Linked DNA regions of Oryctolagus cuniculus. The protein of the gene in region 1 interacts with the protein of each later gene in a biochemical or structural test. Links are inferred from orthologs where the notes say so. Each region holds a gene or a part of one and is shown in the gene's direction. Other genes may lie near its edges. The genes, in order: GRK2, ADRB2 and guanine nucleotide-binding protein G(q) subunit alpha.

Evidence for each region.
Region 2: the proteins of GRK2 (region 1) and ADRB2 form a complex in vitro, tested with the Homo sapiens proteins (2 studies listed by BioGRID, with this or other methods). The link is inferred for Oryctolagus cuniculus from reciprocal best matches to the Homo sapiens genes GRK2 and ADRB2.
Region 3: the proteins of GRK2 (region 1) and guanine nucleotide-binding protein G(q) subunit alpha form a complex in vitro, tested with the Homo sapiens proteins (3 studies listed by BioGRID). The link is inferred for Oryctolagus cuniculus from reciprocal best matches to the Homo sapiens genes GRK2 and GNAQ.

Annotation. Positions count from the first base shown.
Region 1 is NC_091432.1:4,746,863-4,754,386, reverse strand, and holds the start of GRK2 (beta-adrenergic receptor kinase 1), read left to right. Parts: upstream 1-2,675; 5' UTR 2,676-2,914; coding exon 2,915-3,027; intron 3,028-7,524. UniProt on the Homo sapiens protein: Specifically phosphorylates the agonist-occupied form of the beta-adrenergic and closely related receptors, probably inducing a desensitization of them. Key regulator of LPAR1 signaling.
Region 2 is NC_091437.1:36,222,004-36,229,787, forward strand, and holds the start of ADRB2 (beta-2 adrenergic receptor), read left to right. Parts: upstream 1-3,275; 5' UTR 3,276-3,513; coding exon 3,514-4,708; intron 4,709-5,359; coding exon 5,360-5,367; 3' UTR 5,368-5,403; exon of another isoform or gene 5,404-7,784. UniProt on the Homo sapiens protein: Beta-adrenergic receptors mediate the catecholamine-induced activation of adenylate cyclase through the action of G proteins. The beta-2-adrenergic receptor binds epinephrine with an approximately 30-fold greater affinity than it does norepinephrine.
Region 3 is NC_091432.1:152,215,868-152,223,361, forward strand, and holds the start of guanine nucleotide-binding protein G(q) subunit alpha, read left to right. Parts: upstream 1-2,370; 5' UTR 2,371-2,561; coding exon 2,562-2,697; intron 2,698-7,494. Other genes in the region: uncharacterized protein, read right to left, coding at 857-962, 1,228-1,448.

The DNA of each region.
Region 1 (7,524 bases):
GCGGGAGGCCAGGGCTTAATGGGAGGACTCAGGGTAGACTCACCAGGTGCCGCCAGACCACGGACAGCAGGTGTGTGTGCGCACGCGCGGAGGTGGGGGGCGAGGGGCCCAGGAGGACTCCTGGGGCGACTGTCAGGGCGAGCTTGGAGGGAAGCGGCTCGGCCCGGGGCTGGCTGGTGGGAGCAGGAGCTCCGTGTGGGACGCACTGGAGTTTGCAACACTCATTAGTCACCGGCACACATGCCAAGGAGCAGTGTGGGCCTGCCAGCTGGGCGGGACGCGTTCCCCTCCCCTGGGCGCTCCCGGCATCCTGGCTGTAGCCCGGCGGATCTGGGCACCAGACAGGTTTGCTGAGGGAAGCTGGCCCGAAAAGGTCACGTTTTTAATCAGCCTTCCCACGGCCACCAGAGGGCAGCACCGTCCCCAAAACCAGCCCTCCTGCCCCCCCCCCCAGCCCCCCAGCCAGGGCCTCCATCAACAGCCTGGGGCTTCCAGAAACCACCTTCTCGGATCCCAGGAACCAAGGAGGGGTGTCCTGGAGAGAAGGCCCCTGGAGGGACCCCAGCTCCAGACCTGGCCGGGGGCTGCAGATGGGTGGGGGCAGGACGGCGGGTGTTCCAGAACCCACATGCAGATCCTGGACTGACGTGTTCGTCAGGCAGGATTTTTTAAGCAGAGGCTGTCCCAGATAAATCCAGGCCAGCCTGTGGCTGCACTCAGTGCGAAGAGGCGGGCAGGGCGGTGGGCAGAGGCCCCAGATGCCATGCGCCGCGAGAGCCCGGCCGCTCAGTCTCCCATTCATACAGTCTCCCGGCACTTGTCGACGGACGCCCTCTGCGTCAGGTCCCCTGGTGGGCACTGTGGCAAGAGCTGAGCCAGGAGCCTTGGTGACCGTGGGAGACAGTGGGTGTCCCCCCCACGCCTCTGCATTTCCAGGACACCGATGGGTCCGAAAGCCTCACTGGACCCTGAGAAGTGTGGCGCGGGGCTGGCGCTGGCACAGCGGTTAAGCCACTGCTTGCAACACCAGCGTCCCTTAGCGGGGCGCCCGTTTGAGTCCTGGCTGCTCCACTTCCGATCCGGCTCCCTGCTAGTGCACCTGAGAAAGCAGCGGAAGATGGACCAAGTGCCTGGGCCCCTGCACCCACGTGGGGGACCCTAATCGAGTTCCAGACTCCTGGTTTGCGCTTGGCCCAGCCTCCATTATTGTGGCCATCTGGGGAATTGAACCAGCAGAGGGAGATTCTCTGTCTCTCCATCTCCCTCTGTAGCTCTGCCTTTCAAATACATAAATAAAAACATAACAAGACGATGCTTCCCGACCAAGGGAATAGGCTCTCCTGGGTGGGCGGTGTAGAGGAAGAGATGGACATAGCCGGGGTCAGGAGTCCAGGAAGGCTGCCTGGAGGAAGTGGCATTAGAGGGCAAGCAGGAGTTGGTGAGGGAGGAAGGCACCCAGAGGGTTCCAGGCTCAAGGCTGAGCAGGGGCGCGGGGGGTGAGAAGGGATGGGTGGGGGGTGGGGGACACCCGACACCGAGGGTGGGGGCTGAACAAGCTGAGAGGGGCAGGGACCCCCCTTGCAGGTCAGGGCGTCTGGTCCTGTGGTGCTTTGGGCAGAGGCGGCCCAGTCCTGAGTGGGCCCAGCAGATCCTGAGAAATGGACAGGTTCCAGAAGGTTCTCGGGGGGGCCAGACAGGAGGGTGTGAGGAGAGGTTAGGGGAGGGGAGAGGGAGGGATCAAGGAAAAGAAACCGGAGGGTCTGACGGGTATCTGGGTGGGCGGCAGAGTCCCCGCGGAGCAGGGGCCTCGCCGTTTGTGCTGACCCGGGAAGGTGGCCCCGAAGTGCGTGGGGGCCCTGCTTCGCGGAGGGCTCCTGGTTCTGGTTCAGGACCCGGCATGAGGACCTGGGCTGAGTGTGCCCTCTGCTGGGGTGGGAACCGGGGCGGGGGCTCCAGAGAGGGGATCTGTCAGGCCTGGGGCTGTGCCTTGAGACGCTGGCTTTCCCGTTGTGGGTGGCTCCCAGTTGTGGGGGCTGCCAGGCACACTGAGACCCTGTGCCCCCACCCCCCCCAGGATGGGAGAGTTGGCCCCGTGTTGTGCAATCATCCCAAAGCGGCCCCTGGGGCAGGGGTGGGTGCTGGAGGAGCCTGGGGTGTGACGGCAGAGGTCACCTTCCTGGTGGCTCGATGACCGACTGGGCTCTGAGTCCAACCCGGGTCCAAGTCCAGGCCTGGAGCTGCTAACCGGGGAGGTCCCAAGGCCAAGATCTCAAACCTCCTTAGGGAGTCCTGCTGGGCACCTGGGGCCAGCGCTTGGGGCCCCAGGGCTGTGGCCGAGTCTGGGGTCCTTTTTGGAATCAGGTGCCGGGTTACAGCAGGGTCTGGGATCCCGTTCTGAAGTCGGCTCGGGGGTCTCGGGCGGAGTCCCGGCCCTGGCCCGGGGTCTCGGCCGAGCTCTGGTTCTGGAGGGTGGGATCCCGGGCCGCGACTGGAGGCTGCCGGCCCAGGCCCAGGGTCCGGGACGCACGGCCGACGTCCGGCCGGGGCGTGGGCGCGGGGTGGCCCGCGCGGCCTGCAGGGGGCGCCGCCGGCCGCCCGGCTCGGCCCCTCGCGGGCTCGCTGGCGCTGTGCGCGGCAGGCGGGGCCGGAGGCGGCGGCGGCGGCGGCTCCGGGGCGCGGGCGGCGGCGGCGGCGGCGGCGCCCCGACTGCAGTCCCGGCGGGAGCGCAGCGCGAGCCGGGGCCATGGGGCGGCGCCGCCTGTGAGCGCGGCCAGCGGAGCCGCGGGCGCCCAGCGGGGCCGGGCGGGCGGCGGCGGCGGCGGCGGCGGCGCCCGAGGCCGAGCGAGCCGCGGCCGGGCCGGGCCGAGCCGAGCGAGCGGCGGCGGCGGGAGGAGGCAGCGCCGCCGCCGCCAAGATGGCGGACCTGGAGGCGGTGCTGGCCGACGTGAGCTACCTGATGGCCATGGAGAAGAGCAAGGCCACGCCGGCGGCGCGCGCCAGCAAGAAGATCCTGCTGCCCGAGCCCAGGTGAGGCGGCCGCGCGGCCCGCTGCCCGGGCGCCGGCCCGCGTGACCCCGGCGCCCCCCGCCCCGCGCGCCGGAGCGCCCCACTCCGGGACTCCCACCCCCAGCGCCATCCTCCTCTTCCTCGGCCGCCCCTGCCCCCAGCGCCCCCTCGGGATTCCGGCACTGCCAGCCCGCTCCCCCGCCGTGCGAGGTTCCGGGGTCGTGCGGTCTTGGGGCTCTCGCCCCGCGCTCCGGTGGGTGGGCTCGCTGTCCTGGGGCGGCCGGGCGTGGCGCGTGCAGCGACCGCCCCCACCCCCAGGCTGCTCTCGGGTGGGGGCGACGTGTGTGCCCCGACCCCCGCGGCGTGTCTCCTGTGGGGGCCCTGCCTGGGGACCCTGGGGGTGCTGATGACCCAGGGACAGCCCAGCACACCTGCAGCAGCTGGACCACGGCTGCCACCTCTCCGTGATGTCATTGCCCCTGGTGGCAGAGTTTAAAGGGCCAGGATGTGGATGGAGAAGTGCCCAGGGTGGGAATGGTGGCCGGGGCTCGTCCAGCGCTTTAGGGCTGGCAGTGTTTTCCCACCGAGCGAGCCGCCCAGGCCCGGTGGAACAGGTGGAGAAGCCGGAGCCCCGTGAGTGGGTGGCCCGCCCCGTGTCACCCAGGTCACCCAGGGTGGCACCCGGCCAGCAGCCCAGGGATTCCGGCTGCTCTCTCTGCATTTTGCCCCCTGCGCTGGCCCGAGCTGGGACCTGGGGGCCGGCGTTCAGTACAGCCACCAGGGTCCCCATCCCGGCGACGACTCCTGTGTGCCCGGCGGCTGGGGACAAGGCCTTGTCATGTGACACTGGGCAAGTCCCTTCCCGTTTCTGGCTTTGTGAAATGTGGAAGGTGCAAAGCGAGTGTCGCGGCTGCGCCGTGGCCGCGGTCCCTGGCACGGGGCGCAGGTGTGGCAGCCGAGCCCCAGCTGCCCGGGGTGCCCTGCGGTGTTGGCCGGCCACCCCTCCTCGCACCCTGCTCCGTGGGTTTCAGATTGACTGCACAGCAGGCCTGGGAGAGGAAAATTGGTCTTGGTTTTAAAAAGGCCGTTAGCACCCTCCCTCCCCCGCGCCGCCTAAGACATTTGCAATCAGATTTCTCAAAACAGGAACCAGACCAACCGTCGTCGGCCGGGGCTGACCAGGGAGCAGCGACAGGGACAGACATGACAAAGCCCCCGGGGAGGAGACGGGTCGCCCTCCGCGGTGGCCCCAGGTAGCTCTCCTTGGGGGCTGTGGCCTCGAGGCCCACCTGCAGGCATGACGTGAGCACCAGGGCCTTTTCTGGAAGGTTCTGCATTTGGCTAATCTCCCCAGCATGCACCGCTCCTGCGGGGGCCCGCCTGGAGCCGACACTGCAGGTGCTGGGTGCTCCCGGACGCCTGCGGCTGGCGCTGGTCTCGGTCCGAACGCTGACCCGGCACGTCGGCGAAGGGCTGAGCGGCTCAAGGAGCCTGAGGACTGCGGCGTGGCCTCCCGTCCTGGGGGGGGCACGGGGCAGGCTGTGCACGGGTTTCCGCTGGACAGGAGGGTGGAGAGCACCCCGCCTGCCCCGGGCACAGCCGGCCTGGGGTCCGGGCTCCGGCCCTGGGCCACGACAGGGACTGTGTCCCGTGTTTGCCCAGCGCCACCCACTTCCAAAGTGCGGCCTGTCCATCTGATGCTTTGCTCGGCCCGTGGGCGGGAGGCTCCCCATTGAACACCTGAAGCCACTGAGGCCCAGAGAGGGAGGGGCCTTGTCTGGGTCGCCGGGGAGAGCTGGGACCAGAACTGGGCCTCTGCCCGGCCACCCCATCCTGGGCGCCTCTGCTTGCCGCCCTGCCCAGTGCGGAAGGGGCTGGGGAGTAACAGGCAGGCCCAGTCCCCACTGGGGCTCCATCTTTCCCGCTTCCACAAGGCCGCGGTCCGGGAGCTGTCCCCACCCCGGGGTGCGCCATCCTGGTAGCCTCTTCGCGGCAGGTGCTGGGTTGTGGCTTGGCCGGGAGCTGGGCCGGGGGCCGGTGGCACCTGGGCACTGTGCCGTGCTGACTTGGCACGGGCCACCCCTTCTGTCACCTGTAGAATCCCAGGAAGTAGACCCGTTTCCCGGCCTCTTCCTCGCGGGAAGCCGGCAGTCCTGGCCCAGCCGTGGCTGCCTCGGTTTCCCTCTCAGTAACTCGAGGGGGCAGCTCGGTGTCTGGCGACCTCTCAGCTCGTGGGTCTGGGGGCCGGGTCTCGCCCCTTCAGAGCTGCCGCCTTTCCCGGCAGCGGCAGGCGGCAGAGGTGTAATTACGGTCGTTTGCTAATGTGCCCACTGAGGCCTTGTGCAGTTAATCTCCAGGCTCCCGGCCGGCCGGGGCGCGCTGCCTGGCCTCCCGGCGGAGCTGGGTGCCTCTCGCAGCCGCGCTGGTCCCTCCCCCACCGCGGTGCCTCCTTCCTGCCCCTTCTGGCTTCCCGGTCGGTGGCTCGGTCTCCCCAGACCCAGCTCTTCCTCCGCTGCCGCTTCGTTCCTGTTAACTCTTTGCAGCCAGAACTTCCTGCCTCGGTCTGTGGGGGAAGGCGGCGGGCAAGGCGTCCTCTCTCACCCAGAACTTTCCACTGCGACAGCCGCAGCCTCCCCCCCCAACAAGATCATCTTTCCAGCAGGCACCCCCTCTGGGCCTTCGGAGCCCCCCACCTCTGTTCTCTGCAGAGCAGGGGGCGCCCGTAGTTGCCGTTGGAAGGGAGCCTTGCCGGCTGGAATGCGTGCACTGTCGGCGGGAGTGATGTGTCCTATTAATGCAGTCGTAGTAAATTCCCAGTGACGTCAGGTGCAGGCACGCGCCTCGGCCCGCGTCGCCTCCTGCGCCCAGGTCTGCCGTGCGGAGGGGCTGGGCGCTCAGGGGCGGCTGCCTCGCGGCGAACAGGCACGTGACAGCCTTCGGGGAGCAGGCAGAGCGGGCAGCCCCCTCCGCCACACCTGCCCTGACGCCCCGGCAGCCCCAGACGGGTCCCCGGCAGGTCCATGTGCGCCGCTGTTTCGATCATGTTCGAAACAGGAGGCGTTTGCGTGCGGCTTTCTCCTGTAGCCACAGCAGCCTCGCCTGCGCCAGGGTGCACTGCGCCCACTCGGGGAGCCGGCCTGGGCTTGGGGCCGGGGTCCCCCACCCCCGCGCAGGGCAGGGCAGGGAGTTCCGGAAGTTTGTCCTCGGCATGTGCCCGCGGGATGGCCGTGTGTTCCGTCAGCTGCAGGGGCTGGGGCTCGCGTCACATCCGCGAAGGAGCCGTGATACGTGACAACGTAGCGTCCCCTCCTGTGCACCGTGTGGCCGCCTCGCTCTGCCCCGGTTGGTCCGTGGCCCCAGCCTCGCACTCTGAGGACACGGGCAGCCCCAGGGAGTCATTGAAAAATATTAATAAGATGCCCCAGGGGACTTCCTCCTCCAGCTGCCACCTCGGTGCCAGGTTTCCTGGAAATGGCCCAGGGGAGCACCTGGGCGGCAGCCACAGGCCCTGCTCGCTGCCAGGCCTGGAGCCCGCTGGCCTTGGCTTCCACACCACGCGGGGCAGGCGTGCGCAGGCTGCCTGGGAGCAGCCTGGGGGACTGAGGGCCCCTCAGCCCTCTGCCCTCCCTGCCCGCTGCCCTGTCTCCTCACCCCTCCGCTGCTCGCTGTGCAGGGAGAGAGGAAGTGGCTCCCCCCGCGCCAGGCAGACCCAGCCGAGGGGGCGGGGACGGGGCCAAGCAGTTTCTGCCGGGGCTGGGCAGGCCTTCCCGACACCGAGCACGTCTGTGCCAAGGTGCCCTCCCTACTCTGCCAGGGCAGGTGCTGGGCTGTCCCCACGGGGCCCCGGGGAGGGTGACGCTGGCACGAAAGGAGCCCCAGCCACTCTGCACCACCCGCAGCCCCGGGCCTGGCTCACCCGGAGGCTGCCTGGCCACAGGCCCCGTCCGTCCCCGGCAGCCCCAGCCCCTAAGGACACGGCAAGTGTGAGCAGAGCCCTGGACAAGACCAGGCGCACGCCGTCGGGCTCTGTTGCTGGCTGCAAGGCGCTGGGGAGCAGGGCCTGGCCGGGCCTGCCCTGCGGCCCCCGGGGTGGGACAGCAGCCGCGTCCCCACGGCTTCCTCAGTGGCCGGCGCGGTGGCGGCCATTCAGCACCGTGTGGGCGGATTTTTGAAGTGTGCGAGTTGGCCTCCCAGGAAGGAGGTGGGGAGAGCCATTTGGGACCCAGGCGTGGGCGCCCGTCCAGCCACCAGGGCGGCGGCAGCTGGAGGACCCTTTCCCGGGGCGTGGGGGCCTCAGGGTCCCGTGGTCCGAGGACACTTAGGCACCCGGCTCTTCAGTGATGCAGAGCGGGAGCCCTGGGTGTCAGGCGTGACGATGGGGGGGGCACTCTGGGCGCATTGCCAACCCGGACTCGGACTCCGCCAGTACCGGGGGCGGGTGCTGGAGAAGAAAGCGACCCGGCCCGGGAGGTGCCGCCCCAGCGGGAGTGTCCCCGGCGACCCTAAGCTGCCAGCGCC
Region 2 (7,784 bases), on another chromosome or scaffold:
GCACTTAGTCTACTAAGAACTCCCAGTTCTGATGGAGCATTAACAGGCCACAGGCACAACAAGCAACAGCAGAGCTGGGCAGTGGGAATAGGTCCAGCGCAGACCTGGACTCCTCATCACCCTACCACCCTGAACCAGATGCTTCTCAATTCTTCACTTCAGCTTCCTCTTTTGCAAATGGAGGGAAATAAACTAAGCGATCCATTCTATTCTCTCCTATTCTAGCTTTCTCTAATTCTGAAATTCTTTTTTTTAATAGACATTTATTTATTTATTTTAATTTTTTGACAGGCAGAGTGGACAGTGAGAGAGAGAGAGACAGAGAGAAAGGTCTTCCTTTGCCGTTGGTTCACCCTCCAATGGCCGCCGCGGCCGGCACACCGCGCTGATCCGATGGCAGGAGCCAGGTATTTATCCTGGTCTCCCATAGGGTGCAGGGCCCAAGTGCTTGGGCCATCCTCCACTGTACTCCCTGGCCACAGCAGAGAGCTGGCCTGGAAGAGGGGCAACCGGGACAGAATCCGGCGCCCCGACCGGGACTAGAACCCGGTGCGCCGTCGCCACAAGGTGGAGGATTAGCCTAGTGAGCCGTGGTGCCGGCCTAATTCTGAAATTCTAAAACAAGATCAGGACACAAGTCTCTTGGAAAGAAAACAACATCCTGAAGTTCCTACCTGCTTGATGATGAAACAGAGAAGAGATGGGGAATGAGCGAGAGGGAGAGAGATTGATTTCCTGTTGGTCAAGGTTGGTAGGCTTAAGTCCAGAATTTTCGCGCGTGCTTTTATAAAGATGTTTCCCAAAATATTCGAATTTGTAGGTGACTTGAACTTATGTAAACAAAGGATCAATTAATGTTTATCCTAAAGAGGTTTTCTTTGTTCTCTATTGGCCATGGGAAGCTTAAACAATTTGCTTACTTATTCCATAACTTCACAAACAGGAAGGACCATTCATGGTGGCCATGTATTTAAAGAAGCACTGTTGCATAACAGACACTGCCTCTTCCTAAAATGCATCACACCAGAGCCGATTTTGGAAAATACAAACATAGGGCGTCTATACTTTGCAAACCAGGTGAACATAATGGAACCTTAATTAATATTCGTGGATTATAAGGGAAATATTTGCTCTTAAAGGCATCTGTCTTGCAAAAAGACAATTTCTCCTGCTGAAGGAGGTTAAAAGGACACGTGGGTTATATTTTGTTGCAGAGTTTTTCTTCTGGAGTAAAGACAAAACTTGGTTTTGTCCTAAAGCAGTGTCTTGTTCTGGCAGACGATACTAGCAACACATTCTAAATGACTAAGTAATTTGTATAAACTTTGCTGACTGCCCATATGAGTATGACATTTATATGTGCAATATATTGGATCACTAATTCTCATTCCAGGGGAAGTGACTATATTCCTCCCTTAAAGATGGAAGAAATCAGGTTTCTTCTTTATGATTTGCCTAAGGAAAGTACACTAGAAAGTTCCACATTAGATGACTGTGGAGCCTGGGTGCTCGGCTCCAGTTATGGTGCCTCTTCCGTCGCCTCCACTCTGCTCTGACTGTAATACGAGGGCACATTGACAAGATTAAAAGAAAGGCCTTAAAGTCCGGTAGACTTGGGTTCAAATCCAACTTCTGGCACTGCTTCATCATAGCCCCCAGGCAACCTATTTTCCTCTTAGAGCCCCATTTGTGAATTAAGCTAAAAATAGTCACACACACACACACACACACACACACCACACACCCTGTCCCATGGGACTGTGGAAGGATTACATGGAATAATGCATGAAAAGCACATAGCAGAACGTCCTATAAATGTTGGCCATTGTTACAGTATTATGTAACCTACAAAATATGTTTGGTTAGGCTGCACAAAGCACTTTCAGTTGTTCAAAGACCTCACTGGTACATATGAAACCAAACCCTGAAAATCAAATTTCTTTTTAACATTAAAGTCATATGCCAGATGCAAAGGGTAATATTTCATGAACAAAGACATTTAGTTTCAAGGCTTGGTTTGACTTTTTTTTTGGAAAAATCATCTTTCCACAGTTTCAAAACATTCTTAAAGTTAGTACAGTCATAATGTTACAAACTGTATGAAATGTCCATTCTTGTAAATCAGAGGCAACCAACCAAGGCAACTTCATATGGTTCAATCCAACAGATACAAATTATCTAGCCTCTGAAAAGATTGCTTTTTCTGCAGTTGCCATGGGGTTATCAAAGACATTACGTTTGAAAGGAAATCTGTTTCATTTTCAGTGCATCTCCATTCCAACAGATGACAGAAGGGGGGCTGCTACACTCTCAACAATCAGCAACAAAACCACGCAACTTTCTTCGCCATCACAAGCTAGGTCCATACACAGCCAAGCTGCAGTGAAACGCAGAGTAAAACCTTCCCAACTCTCCGCCTTCCCGAGGAGAGCATTCAAAGTAACTGACAGGGACCGTGCTGAGGGAATCGGCAGCTGTTTAAGTCATCTCCTGTGATCTTGCCAAATGTTTGAAAGGGTGACGGGGTGGGGAGAGGTGGAGCACGGGGGTGTGTGGCAATTGAGGGCTTGAGCCAGAAGAGCTGTGGGTACCCGCACAGGGTCGCGTGCCTCTGTGGCTCTGTGCGCTCCCAAGTCCCAGCGCGCACGCACCTCTATGTGCGTAGAGTGTGTTTACTTCTTTCCGTGTGCCTGTCCGTGCCTTTGTGCCCTTGGCTGCTTCTATGTCTGACTCTGACCGCGTGTGAGCCGTGACTGCCGGCAACAGTGCTTGTGGGTTGCGTGTGAGCGCGCGCGAGGCTTGTTGGTGCGCTGGGTGGGTGTGTGAGCGCGCGCGAGAGGCATGTTGGTGCGCTGGGTGGGTGTGTCGTGTCTCCCTGAGTTCCAGATAAGTCTGAGCATGTCCGTAGGGGTGCATCGTGCTTGTATGTACAAGTTCTGATGGCACTCTGGTCCCTGTTTCCAAATGTCGCGAGCGCCATTATGCGCACAAGCGCCCAGGGCAGACAGGTAGCAGCCGGAGGGAGAGGAGCTCAGTTCGCTGGTTCGCTGCTGAGCCCGCAGCCCCCGCTTTAGCACTCAGGAGCCAGCCCGGGAGTGGTGGCCCGCCTGCCACCCGGGCCAGCCCCAGGAGAGGGCGGGCAAGGGGAGGGAAGCGAAGGGGAGAGGTGCCTCGCCCCTTCGGGGCTGCGGGCACGCCATTGGCCGAAAGTTGCCTCACGTCACTGGGAGGCAGTGGCCCCGAAGTCCTGAGCACATAACGGGCAGAACGCACTCTGAGGCGGCTTCTCTGAAGTGCAGGCTGGAGCTGGCGGGCACGGAGGGCTCAGAGCAACCCACAAGCCGAGTGCGCCGGACGTGACCCACGCGACCCTCCGCATCCAACTACGGCCGCTGAATGAAGCTTCCAGGAGTCCGCTCGCGGTCCGCAGCGCCCCTCCGGAGGTGCGCACGCTGAGGCGGGGCCACTGTGCCGCCAGCCGCCCCCGGGCGCTCACCTGCCCGCCTGCGAGCCATGGGGCAACCCGGGAACGGCAGCGATTTCTTGCTAGCGCCCAATGGAAGTCACGCGCCGGACCACGACATCTCGCAGGAAACAGACGAGGCGTGGGTGGTGGGTCTGGCCATCGTCATGTCTCTGATTGTTCTGGCCATCGTGTTTGGCAACGTTCTGGTTATCACAGCCATTGCCAAGTTTGAACGTCTACAGACGGTCACAAATTACTTCATCACCTCACTGGCGTGTGCTGACCTGGTTATGGGTTTAGCGGTGGTACCCTTTGGGGCGAGCCACATTCTCATGAAAATGTGGACTTTTGGTAACTTCTGGTGCGAGTTTTGGACTTCCATTGATGTGCTGTGCGTCACTGCCAGCATTGAGACCCTGTGCGTGATCGCAGTGGATCGCTATTTCGCCATCACCTCACCCTTCAAGTACCAAAGCCTGCTGACCAAGAATAAGGCGCGCGTGGTCATTCTGATGGTGTGGATCGTGTCGGGCCTTACCTCCTTTCTGCCCATCCAGATGCACTGGTACAGGGCCACCCATCAGGAAGCCATCAACTGCTACGCCAAGGAGACCTGCTGTGACTTCTTCACGAACCAAGCCTATGCCATTGCCTCCTCCATCGTGTCGTTCTACTTGCCCCTGGTGGTCATGGTCTTCGTCTACTCCAGGGTCTTCCAGGTGGCCAAAAAGCAGCTCCAGAAGATTGACAAATCAGAGGGCCGGTTCCATGCCCAAAACCTCAGCCAGGTGGAGCAGGATGGGCGAAGCGGGCATGGACATGGACTTCGCAGGTCCTCCAAGTTCTGCTTGAAGGAACACAAAGCCCTCAAGACGTTAGGCATCATCATGGGCACATTCACCCTCTGCTGGCTGCCCTTCTTCATCGTCAACATCGTGCACGTGATCCAGGACAACCTCATCCCGAAGGAAGTTTACATCCTCCTCAACTGGGTGGGCTATGTCAACTCTGCTTTCAACCCGCTCATCTACTGCCGGAGCCCAGACTTCAGGATTGCCTTCCAGGAGCTTCTGTGCTTGCGCAGGTCTTCTTTGAAGGCCTACGGGAATGGCTACTCCAGCAACAGCACTGGCAAAACTGAGTACACAGGGGAGCAGAGTAGCTATCACCTGGAGCAAGAGAAAGAAAGCGAGCTGCTGTGTGAGGACCCCCCGGGCATGGAAGACTTTGTGAACTGTCAAGGTACCGTGCCTAACGATAGCATTGATCCCCCCGGCAGGAACTGTAGGACAAATGACTCACTGCTGTAATGCAGTTTTTCTACTTTTTAAGGACCCCTCCCCCAACAGAACACTAAACAGACTATTTAACTTGAGTGTAACACATTTAGAATAAAACTGTATAGAGAGACGCAGAAGGAAGGCAGCCTTCTGCCTTTTTTTTTAATCTTTTTTAACCTGTAAAAAAAAAAAAAAGAGAGAAGATGTATTTGAGTGATTATTTGTTTCTTGTACAGTTCAGTTCCTCTTTTGCATGGAACACCTAAGTTTATGTCCGAAGGGCTTGAGTCCTAGAGGACCTGGGTCTGCTACGTTTTGATGACTTCTCCGTGTATCTACCTCAGTGGTCAAGTATTAGGGGTAATATATTGCTGCTGGTAATTTGTACCTGAAGGAGATTTTTCCTTCCTGCACCCTTGGACTTGAGGATCTTGAGTATCCCGGACCTCTCAGCTGTGAACGTGGACTCTTCCCAGCTCCTCCTGTTTGCTCGGACCGGGTGTTGTAGGCAGGGATTCGAGGGGGCAGCTTCACTTGTTTTCCTGAGCAAAGTCTAAAGTTTACAGTAAATAAATTGTTTGACCATGACTTCATTGCACCTGTTTCTCCAAAGCCCCTTGACTGGAGTGTCCTTGCCTCTCCCACTGGAAACCGCAGGTAACTATTTGTCATAACTGCCTGGCGGCTTAATGTGGAATGATACAAGAATGACACGCACTGATTGCTTAACCCTTTCGTTCGCCTCTGACTCTGCTGTGGCAAACCTGTATCTCTCCTAACCCTTGTGACCCACATCGGTTCTGCCTGTTCTCAGCATAGCTCAGTCTGCCCTCGGGTGTTATTCTGTTCTGTGACCTCAGAAACACTGACTCACAGAAACAGAGCTCTGGGCATACAGTTTGTCCCTTTACCTGCCACCTCACCGCCCCCCCCCCGCCCCCACCTCCCAGTTCTACTCATTTAAGAACTCTTTTTTTTAATATCTCAGCTGTATCTTCTAGTAGAGCTCTTTGTATTGCATCAGGGCTTTGCATTTTAAGGATAAGGAAGATGTTCTTGCGAGAAAGCAACCCAAACGTGATTCCAAGGGAAAATAAAATGACACTGGTCCTAGGGAGAGAAGCTGGAAAGCACGTGACTGATGACTACTTAACGGCCTAGAAACAGGGTTTTAACCCTTCTTCTTTACTTTTGCCTCTTCTTCCCTCTCCCACTGGCTCTCCTCGGCACCCTCAGCATTATCAGCCTTGAGAGTGCCCGTTGTGGGATTATGCCATGCATCACTGAATGTGGAGCAATATCCCTAGCTTCTGCCCATGCGATGCCAATAGCACCTCCGAGTCATGACAAAAAAAAAAAAAAAATCTCCAGCACTTTCGAATACCTGTTGAAGGACAATATCAGACCTGGGAGAGAGCCGTGGAGGCAAACTTTAAAATCTAAATGCGTATTTGGATTCCGCTTTGTGCAAACGCTTTATCTTGCAGAGCCACAGAGAGGGGCCTTTTAGAGACAGACCCCAGGCCAGTACACTCTCCCTGTGTGCTGCTATCCCTGTGAACCTGCTCTCCAGCTGCCCAGAAAGTGACCAGGAGACTTGAAGAAGGCTTTCAGTCTGTATATGGGTTGTTTGGGAGGGTTTATCAATGGAGGCGAGGCCTGTGGGCCGTTACTTTCTGTTTCTAGAGAGATTATACTACTGTTAAGAGGTGCAGGGGGTGGAATCACAAAAGTAAACACATTTCTTCTCGCAGCCCCTTTCTATTTTTGCCTGTGTGTTCTGAGCCAGAGCTTGGCCCAGGTTTGATGGAGTGGATCGCCCTCCTTGGCAACGCCAGGCTGTGGAGGATCTGCATACAGGGGTCATTGCCATTTCACTGGCTCATGTGGCTGACTCAACTTCTCTCTTCCCTTCTGTCCCAGCCAAGGTCCCCAACCAGAAAAGCACTGGCCTTCACTGCTTCCTGTCAGCTCGCTGAGGGGGTATCTGGGCAAGCACTGAGCTCCCGGGAGAGTGCCAGGAGTGTCTCTGGAATCGGAGAGCATGTGCCTTTAGCATTTTTACTTTCTCCTAGCGTTCTCATACCTGTTCTCATGCTGTCCTGCCCTGGGCTTCTCCTGCTATCTGCATGCTTCTGTAACCTCACAGGGGCAATAGAAAAGAGACCTGAAAAGACCACAAGCCAGGGAATGACCTGCCCAAGGTAAGCAGCCAGGATGGCAGAGCAGCTAGCCAGACTGCCCTGCCACGAGCTGTGGTCCCCTGGCAGCCGCACTGTCACTGGGTTCTGTCCTTACCCTCAGCTGCGGAAGCTTGTCCTGGGCTGTAATATAACAACTTCATTTCAGCAGATGTTTTTATTTCCTTTGAGTCGTTAACACAAAATTCGGGGAATAAATAAGTAATCTGCAAGAGGGACGAGGGAAAGAACTGTTCATTTCACTCCAAGAATCCACTAGGACATTCTCCGCATTCAAGGAAGCCAGGAGATTCCTTAACTCTTTGTGATCTGTCAGGAATTCCAGACTTTATCCCAGGTAGAAGTTTCCCAGGTCTTATTTCAAACACAGAGTTGCAAACCAGTCTGACATCATGTGTAAGTCCTATGTCACTATATATAAGTATAAAGTATTCATAAGTATTACCAGTAAACTGTGTCAATAATACGTCTGTTCTTTGGATAAAGGAGCATCAACATCATTTGATTTAAAAGTACAGCGTTCTTTTAGTCCGTTAGGCGCACGATAAATACAAGAACTTTGATGAACTTCAGGGACCTTGGCGTTCTGGGCATATCTCAATCCCTGGCTTTCCTCTCCTTTTGTGTGGCTTTGTTTCCCTGCGTCTCTCTGTCCCTCTGTTTGCCGACGTGCTGGTTACATAAGGTTTGTGTTGGATTCATCACCAGAGTTTTCTTTGCCTGGACAGCAAGTTCTCAGAGTCTGTCAAATGAGAACTTTATCCTGAGATGCAAGCTGACAGGTGTGAACCATGGAAGGACAGCGTGGGCCTCCCGCTGAGATAATTACTAGAGGAA
Region 3 (7,494 bases), about 150 Mb from region 1:
CAATAGGTCAAATGTACTGATAGTCTTCTGATAGTTTTCTGGCACACTTTGAAAGACATTTTCAAGTCTCAGAGGACACTAGGCTAGGAAACCCAATTTGAAGCTCAAGAGAGCTATTTGGTTTCCAGTGTTTTGTATTTCTCCTACTCACATATATCCATGTATTACAGGATACAACCATATCAGGTTTTCCCGTGAAGCCATTTTACATCACTGCATATTGAATGCCATTCTTTTCATTTCTTTTGTCACTGATATTTAAATTTTCATTCCATAGCAAGTGTAGTGGTTCTTTGTAGTCATTCGTATAAATTTGCTCATTCTACTCTCCTGGCCAAGGTGAAACTCAATCATTTTCCTTGGCCAAAAATCCTTTTAAAAAATATAGATTTTATGTTTTGATGGCTTGCTTAATCTAAGTGCTGGCTTGGAGTGTGTGTGAAGGGCTGGAGGAAATGATAAATGAAGGAAGGAAGTCGCACACCTGGTGTCCATGAACCCAGGGTGCATTCCTGGCCTGCAGCAGTAGCACAGCCGTGGCACCAGGAGCATCTCCCAGCAAACGTGGAACAGCGATTCTCTTCAGAAAACACCATTTACCCTGAAGACCTCGGTTTCCATCAAGGCTGGAGGCGGAAGAGCTTGGCTTTTTGCAGCTTTCAGGCCAAATCAAGCCTGAAGGAGCAAACTTCTTGTTGTTACTTATCGGGAAGATCACCACGAAACACATACGCAACACTTTTACATAAACTTAACCGGAAGTGGAAAAGGAAAAATAAGAAAAAAAAAAACCTAGAAACAAATCTTGATTTTCCCATTTAAAATTTTTTATTCTTTTCTTTCATCCCGCACGGATTTACATGCTCCCAGAAGCCACCCATAAGTTCCATCTCGGTGGAGCAGGGTACATTCGGTGACTTGGCTGTGAAAACATCGCGTGCCTTTTCAAAAACGAGGAGCATCTGTAAAACGGAAACAAGAACAACAGAAAACCAAAACCAAAATCACCTCAACAGCATGAAAAGTTGGAGCCTGCCAGGAAGCTCCCGGCAACTTGGGCAGCTTCATTTTTCTGCTCAGATTTCTATCTCAAGTGAATTGCAGGGTCCTCGCCCCCTACCCCTCGGGGAGGCAGTGACCACTCCTCTCCGGCCACAGCCCACCCGGAGAGAATCGTATTTTCTAAGATTCAACTGGGGTCAGTAGTGACGAGAGGCAGCTTCTAACCGAATGGCGTTTGAGGAATAACCTCGGGAAAAGACAGAGGCCACCGCACAGCGGCCTCGCGGAGCCGGGCAGGGGGTCTCCGGCGCTGCCAGCGGGGAGCCGGGCAGGGGGTCTCCGGCGCCAGCCGGTGCATGGGCTCGGGGCCGACTCCCGCGGCTTCCAGGCGGGGCCGAGGCGGCGCTCCGGGGCTGGTGGGCTGAGAGGCAGGCGGAGGCCGCCATATTCCCGCTCCACCACGCCCGGGCGGCCGCAGGTTGCCGGGGTTCCGGCCCGCGGTCGCAGCCGCCCGCTCAACCCGAGCGGCTGTCAGCGGGCCCTGCCCCTAGCCGAGGGCGGCTGCGTCCGCCGGAGCCCGCCGGCCTCCACGGAGGGCGCGGGAGAGGGCGGCGCCCGCGGAGCCTGAGGGGGCCGGCCCAGTCAGGGAGCTGCGCGAGCGAGGCGAGAGCCGCACTGGGCGGCGCGGCGCGCGGCTGCGAGCCCAGGGAGAGCCTTCCAAGAGGGGCCGGGCGGCTCCGCCTCCCGCGCCCGTCCCTCCGCCTCCGCCTCCTGCCCCTCCTCCTCCTCCGCCTCCTCCCGCCGCCGCCGCTGCCGCCGCCGCCGCCGCCTCCCTCCCGGATCTGTGCTCCAGTTCAGAGAAAGAAGAAAATGTGTGTGTGTGGCGAGGGGGAGGGCGATCACTGAGCAGCCGCTCCGCGCCTGGCAATCGGGGCCGGGGGTGGGCGTTTGGCGGAGGCGGAGGCGGAGGCGGAGGCGGAGGAGCGCGCGGCGGGCCGGGCCGGCGAGCGGGGTTTGCGCGCTTAGCCGGGCGGTGGGCGCGGGCAGGGCCGCGGGCGCCCGGGAGCCGTGTCAGGCGGCGGCGAGGAGCGGGCGCGCCGGGTGCGGGGAGCGGTCGGCGGCCGCTCGCTAGGGGGGCGCCCCGGTGGATGTGCTCTCGCCGCCGGGCGCAAACCGTAGGGGAGCCTCGGCGGCGGCGCGGGGGGCGAGGCGGGCTGCCCGTTCCCGGGGAAGGAGGCGCGGGCGTCTGAGCGAGGCCGGGCGCGGCGGCCTTCCCTTGCGCGCCCCCCGAGCCAGCGCCCGCGGCCGCCTCCCGCGCCCGCCTCGCTCCGCCGGGCGGCGAAGGCCTCCTGCGCCCGCCTAGACCCCGGCCCACCTGGTGGCCCCGGCCCTGGCCGTCGCCCCCGCGGCGGTTCCGCGATCTCATCCCGGACGCGCGCCCAGGCGGCGGGGGCTCAGCGGCCACCGCTGCCTCGGGGGAGCGAGGGCGGGAGGGTGTGTGTGTGCGCGCGTGTGAGCAGGGGGTGCCGGCGGGGCTGCAGCGGAGGCACTTTGGAAGAATGACTCTGGAGTCCATCATGGCGTGCTGCCTGAGCGAGGAGGCCAAGGAAGCCCGGCGGATCAACGACGAGATCGAGCGGCAGCTCCGCAGGGACAAGCGGGACGCCCGCCGGGAGCTCAAACTGCTGCTACTGGGTGAGTACGGCCCGGGCCGGCCGTGCGGGCCCTCCCCCGGGCCTCTGCGCGCCCCCAGCCCCCGCCTCCGGCCCCTCCGGGCAGCCGCCCCCAGCCCCCGGGCTCGCCCCTACCCTCCCCGGGCGCGCCCCCGGCCTCCACCCGCACCCGCGCGGGTACGCGCGCGCGCGCACACACACGCCCGTGCGCGCGGAGGGTTCGGGGCTGCCTTGTTGGGTGCCTCGGCGCGTGCTGTCTTGTGTGTCCCTTGTTGTGGGGGGGGCTTGCGTTCTCTGCGGTGTCTCTGCTCAATGGCAGATCAGATCTGGCTAGGGGCGCGGGGCTGGGAAGGTGGGCTGAGGGCTTGAACTTGCAGCGCCGGGGCCGCCGCGCCCCCAGGGGTGGTGGAGCTGTGTGTGTGTGTGTGTGTGTGTGTGTGTATGTCGCCCGGAGGGTGGCGAGCCGAGCCGGGGCACAGGGCGCGGGCGGGCGGGGGGGAGATGGCGCGCCGTGAGGTGGCCGTTGTGCATCCATTATCGGTGCGTTCTGGGGTCCAGGAGAAGTGGGGGAGCCACCGGTGGGCAGACTGGCGAGTGGGATCCCCAGGGGTGAAAACTAGAAGCCCAGCAGGGGTCGACCCTCCCCAGCCAGGGGTTCGTGGGGTGGGGGCGGGGAGGGCGGGCAAGCCCCCGTGTGTCACCCGAGTGTTCTTCTGCAGCCACCAGGCCACCCACAGGAGGGGCCCAGCAGAGTTTCTTGGCCAGTGGATGGTGGCAGGCGTGCTTCTCGGCTGCACCATTCCTTCCGGATTAGGACCGGGGCGAGGGGAGCGTGGCTGGCGTGGTTGTTGACAGCGACGGGTATCTTTTGTCTAATGAGGCATCCCAGATCTAGGCCTGAATTCACAACAGTACCGCAGCCTTTCCGTCCCTCTCCGGGGGAAAGAGAGAAACCTTTTGTTTGAAACGGACAGCATTGTAGTGTCTTGGGCATCAGGGCTGCAAAGGAAAATTTCCCTCTGGTCTCTGAATCAACAGCCCCGCGTTCTGCTTTCACGCGAAGTTAGCAAGAGAATGCCGTCTCTCGAATAGGCGTCTATGGATGATTACCTCCGAGAGAATGCTCGGAATCAGGCCACCAGGGTTCACAGACAAGCCAGCGTGAGGGCACCCGGAGCTATTGTGGTCGGCAGAGGCCTGGAGGACGTCTGCACTTGTGTTCTGCGTGTTTGTGTGTGCATAATAAATGCGCGTCTCCGACAGGAGAGAGTGTGGTCTGGGCAGTTCGGGTGGCAGAAGCCTGTATTCCCTCTCTTATCTTGAGCATTCCATCTGCTGGAGAACCAACTGTCTTTGGGGACTCAACTGCTCGTGCACTGGATCCTTTGCAAACAGGAACAAAATAACAGGGCCACCCGTACTTACGAATGGCTACTCTGCTCGCCGGGCTGTGTGTCTTCCTTCTGAAGCCCTGTTAGACAAATGTACACAGGTTCATAAAGGAACAGAAGGCAGCGGGCTGGGGGGAAGAGGTGGGCTTGAGGCCGTGAAGCCGGGGGAGGGAAACACTGCGCTTGGAAAGTGAGGTTCTTTAAAAAAATATATTTTTTTTAAATTTTATTCTCATTTTGGAGGTTGAACATTTTCTGAATTCTCGGGATTGAGAAGAAAGTGGAGAGAACAAGGGAAGGTGTTTAAATACAGAATTCAGGGGAGAAAACATGTGGTGAAGAGAGACTTGTTTGAAGAGCTGGGTTTTCTTTTCCTTTTGCCCTGTTTACTGCCTTTATTTGTTTCTGTTTAGCTGTGAACAGGGCGTCTAAGGTCTCTGCAGTCAGCTCTGTTGGCCTGAACTATGACAGCTCTGGGTTTCCCAGCAGCTGTGCCTTAGCACAGGGGCTTTGTCAGAGGGCCTGGGTTTGAATGCCCAAGAGGGAAGAACACTTCCATAGAGGCTTAATTACATGCCCTGTGCTGTGCTTTTATGGAATGAACCGGGAGATCATTTTCTGAGGAAAGAAAAATGTAAGGTACAGTTTCACAGCTTACGTGGTGGTGGTGTGGAGACTTCGCTCTTATTAGACATTTCAGTAGGGTTTCATATGGCCCACCTCATCCCCATACTATGGCCCATTAGAAGTGGTAGAAAAATAGGATATTAATTGAGCATCTACATTCATGAGTGCCATTTGAAAATGCATCTCTCTGACAGAAGCTTGATCCTCACACATCGTTAGGAATTCCTACTTCATGTTCTAGGCGTGTGGCTTTTGTGACTTAACCAGTGCAGTGCCCACACTACTCACGTGGTAAAGATAGGTGCTGAATGTAGATGTGTGCCTGTGTGTGAATGGTGGGTGAGTCCAGGAGGGAGCCGAGGGCTGAGCTGAGCAGGGAAGGGTAACGGGGCGGCTTCCGGCAGAGGGATTTCTGCTGTGCTGCTCTGATGAGTACCCTGAATTTTCCCGATCCTTCCTTCATTTACACAGAGCCTACCCCGAGGGAGGGGGTTACAGAATGTGTTCTCTCAGAGTGTCTAAAGATCTGGTATTTTAAACTACCTACTTAAATGGAGGAATCAACCTTATAGTAAATGAAATGCAAGATAAAATTATTTTCAAAGTAAATTTTAATTTAAGACATGGCAGCATTTAAAGGAATTGTGTGGTAGGGATAAATGTGTGTACCCTTGCATTTGTTCACACAACTATTTAATATATATTAATAATATGGAGGAATTAGAGAAGGAAAGTAGTGTTTGGCTGACGACACAGAAGTGTGGCAGTAGAATTTGTGCTGTTTTGATTCATATCCAGCCATTATGGTAATGTCTTCCAAATTTATTCTGCAGTACTTGCATATTTTAATTTTTAATCTTTTTAAAAATGAACCCTGAAATCTACCACCTTAAGAATATCTTCTTAATTTCTGAGTTCATATTTTCTTAAAATTATTCTCTTAATTTATTTACTTTAGTGATTGTTTTCTTTGACACCTAAGGAAACTTTGTATTCTACATAGACATACAAAAGCATGCTCTGTTTTAACTTTACTGCTGTTTTTATGTATTTTCTAGGTGAAAAGTACATTATATTTGCTTTGATTAATATTCATGAATTCACTAAATATTTCTTTCAGTAGTACATGGGCCACACCATTTAATATTAATTTGTCTTCAGGTCTGTAAAACAAGTTGTCCCAAATGCTTGCCTTGGGTTATAGATGTTCATTGTGAAATTGTTTTCAATTCCTAGAAGATACACTTTTTCCCCTCTTAACCTGCTCTTATTTTATGCATGTTTGACATCTTTTCTGTTTAGATCATAATCATCAAATAGGAAGATTTTGCGAATTTGGGAGGGAGAGGGAGGGAGAGGTAGAGAAGAGAGAGCAGGAAGGGGAGGCAGAGAAGGAAGTGAGAGAAGGAAGGCAAAGTTTAGGTCAATGTTAAATGAATGCGGTCTTGGTTTTCTGAACTGAATTACATGCATGGCTGTAGATTTTATTCCTATTCTGCACTGCAAGATTGTAGGCATGGAGATTGTGTCTATTTGGTTCACTATTAAATCTCAGCTTGTTGTACATGTTCTAACTCATAGAATGCCCTCAGAAAGTATTTGCTGAATGAAAGATTTTATTTGTGACCCTCCTGCTAGAAGTTGGGATCTGATAATAATGAATAAATTATAAGAGCCAGAGGGATAGGTAATGTTTTTATCTACAGCACATAAAATCATGATCTTTTGAAAATTGTATGTGGCTGTTGGAGCCAGTTGGTTACAAATGCATCACATAGTTGATCCTGTATATTACAGTTCTGTGCTGGGTACACTGCGAATGGAACAGTCTTGCCCAAAGTGAAAATTTAAAGGAAAAAAACCTGTTGTCATCTTGATTACCTTTTTATCATGTAGTGGGTGGTTTAACCCTGTTGTCTTTTTGCCAGACATTTTTCTCTATGATGCACTTAGCAGAGTGAATTTTTAATATTCTGTTGAGAACAGATGATGACCAAACAGATTTTTGTGATTTACTTAACAATGTTACATGAGGAAAACCACAATGGGTAAATACAGAATTCTAGGGATTGCAGATGGAACATTTTTTGATACAAGGGGCATACATCTTGTACTGAACGCTGAACAGTTGGAGAGCAAGAAGAGACTCGGAAGCCTGGGAATGTTCTGGCCAATTTAGACTATATGGAGGGTTCATTCATGCACACCTTTGGATCAAAGCACCCTTCCCTCTGTCCTTAGTAGACTGGGGATGGGGGAGGGCTGGGCAGGTTGATGGCTGCAGTTAACCTAGAGGCTGCTGGCTGTCTAGAGGTGCTCCTTAGAACTCTAGAATGAAAGCATTTCTCCACCAACCCTAATAATATCATCTCCCTGGAAAGACCAGAATATGGTGTTGATGAAGCTGCTTTAAGGATCAGCCAGTTTTATTTTTTGCTACTGTTAGCTTCTGAGTGTTGAGTATGTTTCTAAATGTCAGGATTTATTTGGATGCATTCCCTCTTTTTTATTTTTTTTATTCCTTTGATCAAAGTCCTTAAAGTTTATACCTGAAGAGTGAAGTGGAGACATCCGTCATGAAAATCTGCCTGTAGCCCTGACTGTGTAGCAGTGCCTTCAGAGTGAGATCTTGTATTGAGCTATGTGGATGGCATGTGACAGTCAGTCCTGTGCTTAGGTTATTTCTTCCTGTGGGCACTTTGGCCCGGATTCAAACCCTACCCAACAGTGAATTTATTTCGTGAGTATCTGTTCAGATATTTTTAGGTGAGTTTGGAAAGGAGAACCAGAAGAATAATTTA